2 linked regions of the Callithrix jacchus genome follow. The main gene of each other region encodes a partner of the protein of the gene in region 2 in a complex. Links are inferred from orthologs where the notes say so. Each region holds a gene or a part of one and is shown on either strand. Other genes may lie near its edges.

What was found. The genes of interacting proteins can lie anywhere in the genome.
Region 1: the proteins of CIC (region 2) and YWHAQ are in contact, whole or in part, in a crystal structure (PDB 6KZG), measured with the Homo sapiens proteins. The link is inferred for Callithrix jacchus from reciprocal best matches to the Homo sapiens genes CIC and YWHAQ. Residues at the interface, in NP_001291744.1 of Homo sapiens: Arg1207, Ser1208, Met1209, Ser1210, Glu1211, Thr1212, Gly1213, Thr1214; in NP_006817.1 of Homo sapiens: Lys49, Arg56, Lys120, Arg127, Tyr128, Gly169, Leu172, Asn173, Val176, Tyr179, Glu180, Leu216, Ile217, Leu220, Asp223, Asn224, Leu227, Trp228.

What each region holds. Positions count from the first base shown.
Region 1 is NC_133515.1:105,386,208-105,391,602, forward strand, and holds part of YWHAQ (14-3-3 protein theta), read left to right. Parts: intron 1-4,280; coding exon 4,281-4,404; intron 4,405-5,395. UniProt on the Homo sapiens protein: Adapter protein implicated in the regulation of a large spectrum of both general and specialized signaling pathways. Binds to a large number of partners, usually by recognition of a phosphoserine or phosphothreonine motif.
Region 2 is NC_133523.1:37,329,034-37,333,145, forward strand, and holds the end of CIC (protein capicua homolog), read left to right. Parts: intron 1-9; coding exon 10-176; intron 177-273; coding exon 274-567; intron 568-663; coding exon 664-989; intron 990-1,304; coding exon 1,305-1,549; intron 1,550-1,646; coding exon 1,647-1,801; intron 1,802-1,884; coding exon 1,885-2,016; intron 2,017-2,285; coding exon 2,286-2,417; intron 2,418-2,505; coding exon 2,506-2,873; 3' UTR 2,874-3,476; downstream 3,477-4,112. UniProt on the Homo sapiens protein: Transcriptional repressor which plays a role in development of the central nervous system (CNS). In concert with ATXN1 and ATXN1L, involved in brain development.

The DNA of each region.
Region 1 (5,395 bases), on a different chromosome or scaffold from region 2:
CCCTGCTTAATTGATAAGAGTAATGTACAGAAGAAATTAGTGGGGGAACTTTTAACTATACTCCCTCCTGATGACTTTTTTTGTGGGGGGCGGGGGGGAACGGAGTTTTGCACTTGTTGTCCAGGAGTGCAGTGGCGTGATCTGGGCTCATTGCAACCTCTGCCTCCCAGGTTCAAGCAATTCTTCTGCGTCAGCCTCCCAAGTAGCTGAGATTATCAGCGTGCGCCACCACGCCCCGCTAGTTTTGTGTTTTTAGTAGAAATTGTGTTTCACCTTGTTGTTCAGGGTGGTCTCGAACTTCTGACCTCAAGTGATCCACCCACCTGGGCCTCCCAAAGTGCTGGGGATTACAGACTCGAGCCACCGCTCTTGGCTCTCCCTCCTGACTTCTTACCAGATACCAGTACCCTTATTTGGAAAGACTTTCAGGGAGCTGTGTCAGTTTGGGGGTTTTGGTCTCTAATCTGTGTTTTCACAGTAATTTTAAAAATCTTACACATTTATGGCCTATATTCTATCTGATATTAATAATATTTGGTATTGATAATACAAATAGAGCCTTGATTATTTGGGTAAGACATGAAGCGGAATCCATTATGTCTTCTAGCTGGGCTAAAGTATACATCTTTACTACTGATAGTATATGGAAAGACAGAATTACTCTGTACCTGTTGTTTCCTTCACAGAGAGCTAGTGGCATCTGATGAACAACCATGATACCTGGCTGAAACTCCAGGGTGGAAGTAATGCCCAAGTCCCTTTATAAAAGCCCACCACTATAAATCCTACATAATGGCTGTATGCAAACTAGTAGTCAAAGTCAATCATTTTAGAAAGGAAAGGTTTTGGTTAGCTCCTAAGTGGCTGTGTTTGTAATGAATGCAGTAGCTGTTTGGCAGCTTTCTGAATCTTTGGAAGGCCCTTGGTCCATAAGTCCTTGTGAACACCCACACATCTAGCATGAGAGACTAGTGCTAGAATGGAAATTTCTCTGTTCCCTACTCCTCACCCTAAGCCCATGTTCTAGTCCGACTTCTCTCAGCCCCTGCTCTTACATATCTACCACATTTAACAGAGCACTAGATGAGTAGCTTACCAGAGCTGGCACCTTTTCGGAGATCCTCTGGAATTTCATTGTAACTGACTGATTCACTTGGAGGAACAAGAAAAGTGAGAGGCATCTTATTTTACATTAGAGTTCCTTGGTGTGGGTACAGGCAGAGGTGGTATTTCTCTCAGTATGAGTACTGTGTTTGCCTTCTTTGATAGTACTTCTCAGAATCCGTTCATTTAAAGATAGCAGTGACTCAGTCAGTTTGAGATGTAGAACTTTTTTGTGACTTTCTCGCCATTGCCTCCTGTTCCCTCCCTCTACCACCACCCTAATTCAGTTCATAAAAATAGTTTTTAAATTGAAAGTCATCCATAATATGTAAAAATGGTAATAGAGAAAAATATTAAAGTAATATATTTTTAAGATTTGAGTGTCGCAATTTTTTTTTTCCTTGAGACAGAATCTTGTTCTGTCACCCAGACTGGAGTGCAGTGATGGGATCTCTGCTCACTGCAACCTCTGGCCTCCTGGGTTCAAGCAGTTCCCTGCCTCAGCCTCCCAAGTACCTGGGGATTACAGGTGCCCGCCACCACGCCCAGCTAATTTTTTTTGTATTTTTAGTAGAGATGGGGTTTTACCATCTAGGCCAGGCTAGTCTTGAACTCTGACCTCGTGATCCATCCCCCTTAGCCTCCCAAAGTGCTGAGATTACAGGCATGAGCTACTGCGCCCGGCCTCAGTTTATTAAATAACTATTAAAATTATATTGGTGATGTTGAGCACAATACTTAACATCTGATTTGTCTTTTTTTTTTTTTTTTTTAGTTAAGAGTGTAGTGATGCTGGAGCATCACTTGTCACATCTTGACATCACTTGTCATACACTTGTCACAGTTGCCTTTAGTTTGGGTATGCCCTTAATGACCTCTGTTGCCACACTCCTGTCTCAGCAACTTTCCAACTTGAGCCACAATTTTGATACTCATTACTTTTATAATGTATAAACTTCTAGGACTTCAACACTTAATTTTATACTAAGAGTGTGTGTGTGTGTGTGTGTGTGTGTGTGTGTAACTTCCTCTGGCCTCAGGCCTTTAAATACATTAAAATAATTAATTTAAAATCTTTTTTAAATTAAAGGATTTTAATTATTTTCCTGTTTTTTGTTTGTTTGTTTGTTTTTGTTTTTTTCTTTTTAGAGACAGGATTTCTTTCGCTATCTCTCCCAGACTGGAATGCAGTAGCACGATCATGGCTTACTGAACCCTCTACCCCCTGGGCTTAAGCCATCCTTCTGCCTTAGCCTCTCAAGTTACTGGGATTGCAAGTGTGTGCCACCACACCCGGCTAATTTTTTTAAATTCTTTGTAGAGACCGGGTCCCATTATGTTGCCCAGGCTAGTCTCAAAATTCTGGGCTCTCAAGCAATCCTCTTGCCTCCACCTCACTTCCCAGAGTGCTGGGATTATAGACATGAACCATCACACTTGGCCTCTGTTTATTTTCTTTAAAAATAACGTATGGGCCAGAAGCAGTGACTCATGCCTGTATTCCCAGCACTTTGGGAGGCTGAGGTGGGCAGGTAACCTGAGGTCAGGAGATGAGACCAGCCTGGTCAACATAGTGAAACCCCGTCTCTACTAAAACTACAAAAATTAGCTGGGTGTGGCAGTGTGCACCTGTAGTCCTAGCTGTTCAGGAGGCTGAGGCAGGAGAATTGCTTGAGCCCTGGAGGTGGAGGTTGCAGTGAACCAAGAACACACCACTGCACTCTAGCCTGGGCAACAGAGTAAGACTTTATCTCAAAAAAGAAAAAAAGAAAAGAAATATGTGGATGCAGTGATTGCATTTTGTTAAACCACTTCTAAACAGATAAACAACAAGAGAGTTATTGGTTAGAACTGTGTTTTCTAAACATTTGTATTTTAAATCTATAAACAGCCTTATTTTTCTTTAGCATTTATGTGAATTTGAATCAGTCTTGTTGGTATCATAGATGGTATTTTTATATAATATTAATTGATTGTATTTGTGGTTATTTTTCCAAAATGTAAAAAGGATTCTTTCTCTTCCTTGCTTTAAAATGTTCACTAGTTTCACTTTTCCTGGAGCAGTACTTTTCAAACTGTGTACCTAGGTTGATACTAGCTAACATTTACTGAGCACTTAATATGTCACACTATTCCAGACTTTGACATCTGTTACTGGTTTTATTCTCAAAACAAACCAATGATGAAGTAGGTATTAGTATCTTAACATTTATATGAGAATTTCATTCTGCTTTGTAATATTTAATATAAAAAGGTTTCTAAATGAATGACCTAGCATCAAGAAAAATTGAATCTAAGATTTCTATTATATTTGTTTTTTGTGACTTTTTATACTCCAAGGCATACCCTGTACGTCTAGAAGTGAGAATTTCTTTGTATGAAATTAACAATAAAAGACATACTCCAGAATTCTAAGTTTGTTTTAAAATTACATTTAGTAGACCTAAAATTATTTTATTTGCTGTGCAAGTTTTTAAACCTCTTACTCTCAATTCCTGTATTTGCCTTGCTTTAGATGGACACTTGCCTGCAGTGGGCACTGAGTAGCACTGTTCTCCCACGTACTTGATGTCTTAAACATTGTCTTTCCCTTCCCTAAAATGAGTGCACATCCTTGTTTTCTGCTTGTTGCTTTTCTACTTTTCCTTCTTGACACTTCAAATACTCTTTCCCTGGGAAGCCTGTCTAACTGGAGGCCATCTCCAGCAGAGCCATGTACTCCCTCGCTGTGCTTCCATAGCACTGTATTCACCTTCTCTCTTAATGCTTGGTGTGTAGTTGGTATGCTTTACAGACTCTGAGCTTCTTGAGGGCAGAGACCTGATTTTAAGTCTTCTCTATATCTATTATAGTCAAATACTTGGCACCTAGCGGTGTGAGTAAATGTTTGTTGAATGAATAGATGAGAGAACAGACAGTGTCTTTCAAATTACAATGTGTGGTGTAATCTAGTATTACCATTAGAAATTATAGGCTACATCATCATTTAAAGCCTCCCAGGGCGACAACCTAACCCCTGCCCTAAGAACATGCTTCAAGTCCAGGCTGATATGGTATAGTATTACTGTAGTAGTTAATGATTGAAATGCCCGACAAGCAGAAGTTTGATCATTTAATGATAATGTGCAGCAGGCAGAAGTTCAGTGCCTAATGTTCCCGTGTCTTATTTATTTCAGGAGTTGCTGGATAAATACTTAATAGCCAATGCAACTAATCCAGAGAGTAAGGTCTTCTATCTGAAAATGAAGGGTGATTACTTCCGGTACCTTGCTGAAGTTGCATGTGGTGATGATCGAAAACGTAAGTATATTTGTTATATGGGCAAAACTAAAGTACAAAAAAAGGGGACAAACAGGTCACTGTGACAATATATGTAGCCTCCAGGCTCTTTGTGATGTAAAAATAATTGAACATACATCAAGAAAATTAGTATTATCTTACATTCTCAAAAATGAAAATTGGGTCATAAATTTACATCATGTGCCCTTTAAAAGAAAGACTCATCTATGAACTTTAGTTATAATTGCACATGGTATTACTTAAAACAGGCATAATCTTTCATGCTTTAGAATTTTGGTTCACTGTGCTCTTTCCACCATCTTTCCGCGCCACCACAGTGGTCCACATAAATGTCCTGGCTGATGCTCTCGAGCATCAACGATGCCGAAAAGAGGCAAACACCAGGTGCTTATTAGGCCATGCTCCAAAGTCATCATCTGGTTTCTCATTGTGATGATGAAGCATGGTTACATTGGCAAATTTGAAATCATTGATGATCACAGAGCTGGGAAAATTGTTGTGAACCTCACAGGCAGGCTAAAGAAGTCTGGAGTGATCAGCCCTAGATTTGATGTGCAACTCAAAGGTCTAGAAAAATGGCAGAATTTACTTTATCCTGCCAGTTTGGTTTCGTTTTTAGCTCCAGAGATTTTTGCGCAAACTTTATGAGTCATTCTGCATTTCACATGGCCTTTTTGTCATTATGCCTTAAAATGCAGATAACTGAAATTACTCATAGAACATGGAATCAGGATGTTGTGCCTTTTCTGTTTGTCATATTAATTCATTATCATCTATTTTAAGGGGTCATAACATTGACTGCTAATTACATGTAATCAAATTTCTGAGGAGGAGAGGTGAGATGAATATGTTATTGCTGGTATATTATTGCTGGTATATTGCTGGTTTATTGCTTCACAGTAAATTTGAATGACCCATATGGTTAGGTTTTACTTGAGAAAGTTGAATACACAGGAATTGATGATTAATCAAGTAGTAGTCATAAAAATAG
Region 2 (4,112 bases):
CTGCGGCAGAATCACCTATGTGCAGTCAGCGGGCGGGCACGCGCTGCCCCTGGGTACCAGCCCTGCATCCAGCCAGGCTGGAACAGTCACCTCGTACGGGCCCACGAGCTCTGTAGCTCTAGGCTTCACCTCATTGGGGCCCAGCGGCCCCGCCTTCGTGCAGCCCCTGCTCTCAGGTGAGGGGCGGCGTGGCAGGCAGTGCTGGGGACCCAGGGTGGGGCTGAGGCAGTCTGGGCCCTAACTTGGTCCCCTGCTTCTCCTTTTCTGTCTCAGCAGGCCAAGCCCCACTGCTGGCTCCCGGTCAGGTGGGCGTGTCGCCTGTGCCCAGTCCCCAGCTGCCATCTGCTTGTGCAGCCCCTGGAGGTCCTGTCATCACAGCATTTTACTCTGGCAGCCCTGCACCCACCTCCTCAGCACCCCTGGCCCAGCCATCCCAGGCCCCCCCAAGCCTGGTCTACACTGTGGCCACCAGCACAACTCCACCTGCAGCCACCATTCTGCCCAAGGGCCCGACTGCCCCTGCCACTGCCACCCCAGCCCCAACTAGCCCTTTCCCGAGTGCCACAGGTAGGTGTCAGATCAACTCACAGCAGGGTGAGTTGGGGGGCCCAGCAGATGGGTACCAGTCAGGCCTGGCTCAGCAAACGCTTTTCTCCCCACTAGCAGGTTCCATGACGTACAGCTTAGTGGCCCCCAAGGCCCAGCGGCCTAGCCCGAAGGCACCCCAGAAAGTGAAGGCGGCCATTGCCAGCATTCCTGTGGGGTCCTTTGAGGCAGGTGCCTCTGGACGGCCTGGCCCTGCACCCCGGCAGCCTCTGGAGCCTGGCCCAGTCCGAGAGCCAACTGCCCCAGAGTCTGAGCTTGAGGGGCAGCCCACACCACCAGCCCCTCCACCCCCACCAGAGACCTGGACTCCCATGGCCCGGAGCAGCCCCCCACCGCCCCTACCTGCTGAGGAGCGGACCAGTGCCAAGGGTCCTGAAACCATGGTGAGCACCTGCAGGCTGTGGGGTCCCCACTGGCACTCAGCTGTGCCCCTCCACTGGTATCTTTGGTTTTTTGTCCTGCTTCTCTTTCCTCCATGCCTATGTGTTTCTCAGTTTAAAGGGTCCCCTCTGTCCCTTCTGCTTGCCTGTATTGGCTCCCCTTCTGATCTGAGACCCTGTCTTGTCCTTCCCAAGGCTGTGTGACTGGGCCTTCTCAAGGGGTCTGCCGGTCAGTTTCAGATTCAACTCTTTGTTTCTGGCCTTTGCCCCAGAGTCTGAGCCCCGTGTTCTCCATTTCCCTACCCATCTCCACCCCAGGCTAGCAAATTCCCCAGCTCATCTTCAGATTGGCGCGTCCCTGGGCAGGGCCTGGAGAGTCGTGGGGAGCCTCCCACCCCTCCCAGCCCAGCTCCAGCTCCAGCCGTAGCTCCTGGTGGCAGCAGCGAGGGCAGTGGTGGGCGGGCGGCCGGGGACACCCCTGAGCGCAAGGAGGCGGCTAGTACTGGCAAGAAGGTGAAGGTGCGGCCCCCGCCCCTGAAGAAGACCTTTGACTCTGTGGACAAGTGAGCATGGGCTGGGGCCTTGGTGGGGTGTGTGGGGTGGTGGGAGTGGGAGCAGCTGCAGGCTGAGGCAGGGGAGGTGACCCTGCTGGCCCTCCAGCAGGGTCCTGTCAGAAGTGGACTTTGAAGAGCGCTTTGCAGAGCTGCCTGAGTTTCGGCCTGAGGAGGTGCTGCCTTCCCCTACCCTGCAGTCTCTGGCCACCTCACCCCGGGCCATCCTGGGCTCTTACCGCAAGAAGAGGAAGAATTCCACGGGTAGGGAGCGTTGGGCATCCAGGGTTCATAGGTGAAGGGCAGACTGGGACCACCTGCACTGAGCCTGTTTCTGTTTTGGCCAGACCTGGATTCAGCACCCGAGGACCCCACCTCACCCAAGCGCAAGATGAGGAGACGCTCCAGCTGCAGCTCGGAGCCCAACACCCCCAAGAGTGCCAAGTGCGAGGGGGACATCTTCACCTTTGACCGTACAGGTGCCGTGGTGGGCAAAGCTGTGGCGGGCCCGGAGCCTGCAAGAGGAGTGGGTCTCTGGGAGGCAGTTAGAGGGAGAGGTGGGGTGGGTGTCAGAGGCAGGACAGCAGGTCAGGGTTCTGGAGTCTGGCAGGCCCCCGAGTTGCCCTGTGACTGTGGGCAGGACTCCTCTCTAACTCCTCTGTGAAATAGAATGCAGTGAGGGCTTGGGTGGGCACTCAGACGGTGACAAGACTGCTGTAGCCTTGCCATGCTGCCTGTGCCTGCGCAGGTACAGAAGCTGAGGACGTGCTGGGGGAGCTGGAGTATGAGAAGGTGCCGTACTCCTCCTTGCGGCGCACCCTGGACCAGCGCCGGGCCCTGGTCATGCAGCTCTTCCAGGACCATGGCTTTTTCCCATCAGGTGAGCGTGTCTTAAGAGTTTTGAGGTCATTCGGGTGGGACCTGTCTGCACATCTCACCCTGTGGTCCCTTCGTTTTTCTGCCTCCAGCCCAGGCCACAGCCGCCTTCCAGGCCCGCTATGCAGACATCTTTCCCTCCAAGGTTTGTCTGCAGTTGAAGATCCGTGAGGTGCGCCAGAAGATCATGCAGGCAGCCACTCCCACGGAGCAGCCCCCCGGAGCTGAGGCCCCCCTCCCTGGACCGCCCCCCACTGGCACCGCTGCTGCCCCTGCCCCCACTCCCAGCCCCGCTGGGGGCCCTGACCCCACCTCGCCCAGCTCGGACTCTGGCACAGCCCAGGCTGCCCCGCCACTGCCTCCGCCACCAGAGTCGGGGCCTGGCCAGCCTGGCTGGGAGGGGGCTCCACAGCCCTCCCCCCCACCCCCAGGTCCCTCCACAGCTGCCACAGGCAGGTGAGGGACCCCTGAGAGGATCCCAGGACTCACAGTACCCCCTCAGGACATGGACAGTATGGGGGCAGGAAGGTTATCTCCTCCCGGGTAAAGCCATTTCGTCCTCTCCAGTTTGGGGCGGAATGAGGCCTGCTCCTCTTGTATATACCCCCTTCCCCCACAGCTCCCTCCCGGTGCTGGGGGGCAGCTGAGAGGGCCGCAGGGGCAGTCTCCCTCCTGAGCCCCTGTACATAACCTGGAGTGTGTGACCTTCAGAGCTTTTCACTTTATGCAAAATGGCTCCTGTGAGGGCTGCAAGCTGGAGGGTGGTGCAGGCCTTGGGCCACAGGGAGGCGCCTGTGGAATAGGGGGGAGTTCATGCACCCCTTTTTTCCCCAGAGGGGCTGGACTCAGGTTAGTTTGGGGGTGGGGGCTCCTGCACTTTGCCACAGGCACGGGGAGGGTTTTCTCCTCACCCCCTCTGCCCTCCCAACTTGGGTTGTACTTTCTAAGAAGGTGATTCCCCCTGCCTTTGCCCCCTTTCCCAGAACAAAACATGTTGATCATGTGCAATATTTCTTACTGTGCCGAGAAGCCGCGATGAGCGAGATTAAAGCTGTTTAACACACCTGTGTGGCTTTGGGCTCTTAACGGGGAGGGCTGTTGGTTATACAGTGGCTCATAACTGTCCTCAGTTGTCATGGAGCTGTAGACTTTCCATGAGGTTGGGGGAGCAATACCAGGAGGACTACCTCCAACATCAGAGGGACCCCATGGGCCAGGTCCCTGACATGTGGACCAGGCAGCCCCTCCCAGTTTAGGAGCCCATGTGCTCAGGGAGCCTCAATGCTTTTGGGCCCTGTTCTCAGCCATTGGACTGCATGAGCTTGGGGAAGGCCTGAGGCAAGATGCCACCAGATGGTTTACCCTCAGTCTCTGGTGTCATTTGTATTCAGGAAACAGGCCCCCAAAAGTCCTAGTCCAGAGGTGGCAGTGGGTGGCAGGAGACGAGGGTCCTCCTTGTGACCCTTACTGCCCCCATGTTGCCTGGGTCAGCACTGCAGTAGCTTGTAGCCTCCCCTGGCTGACACCCCTCCCACTCAGCATGTAGACACAGTGCCCACCTGAGATGACAGATACAGTGTGTGGAGGGATGACAACTAAGGGTGGGAGGGTCAGGATACCTCTGTAGAAGTGGCATCTAAGCTACAGCTGGAGCACTAGAAATTTCCAGTTGGGGCAACAGTGTATGCAGAGATGGAGG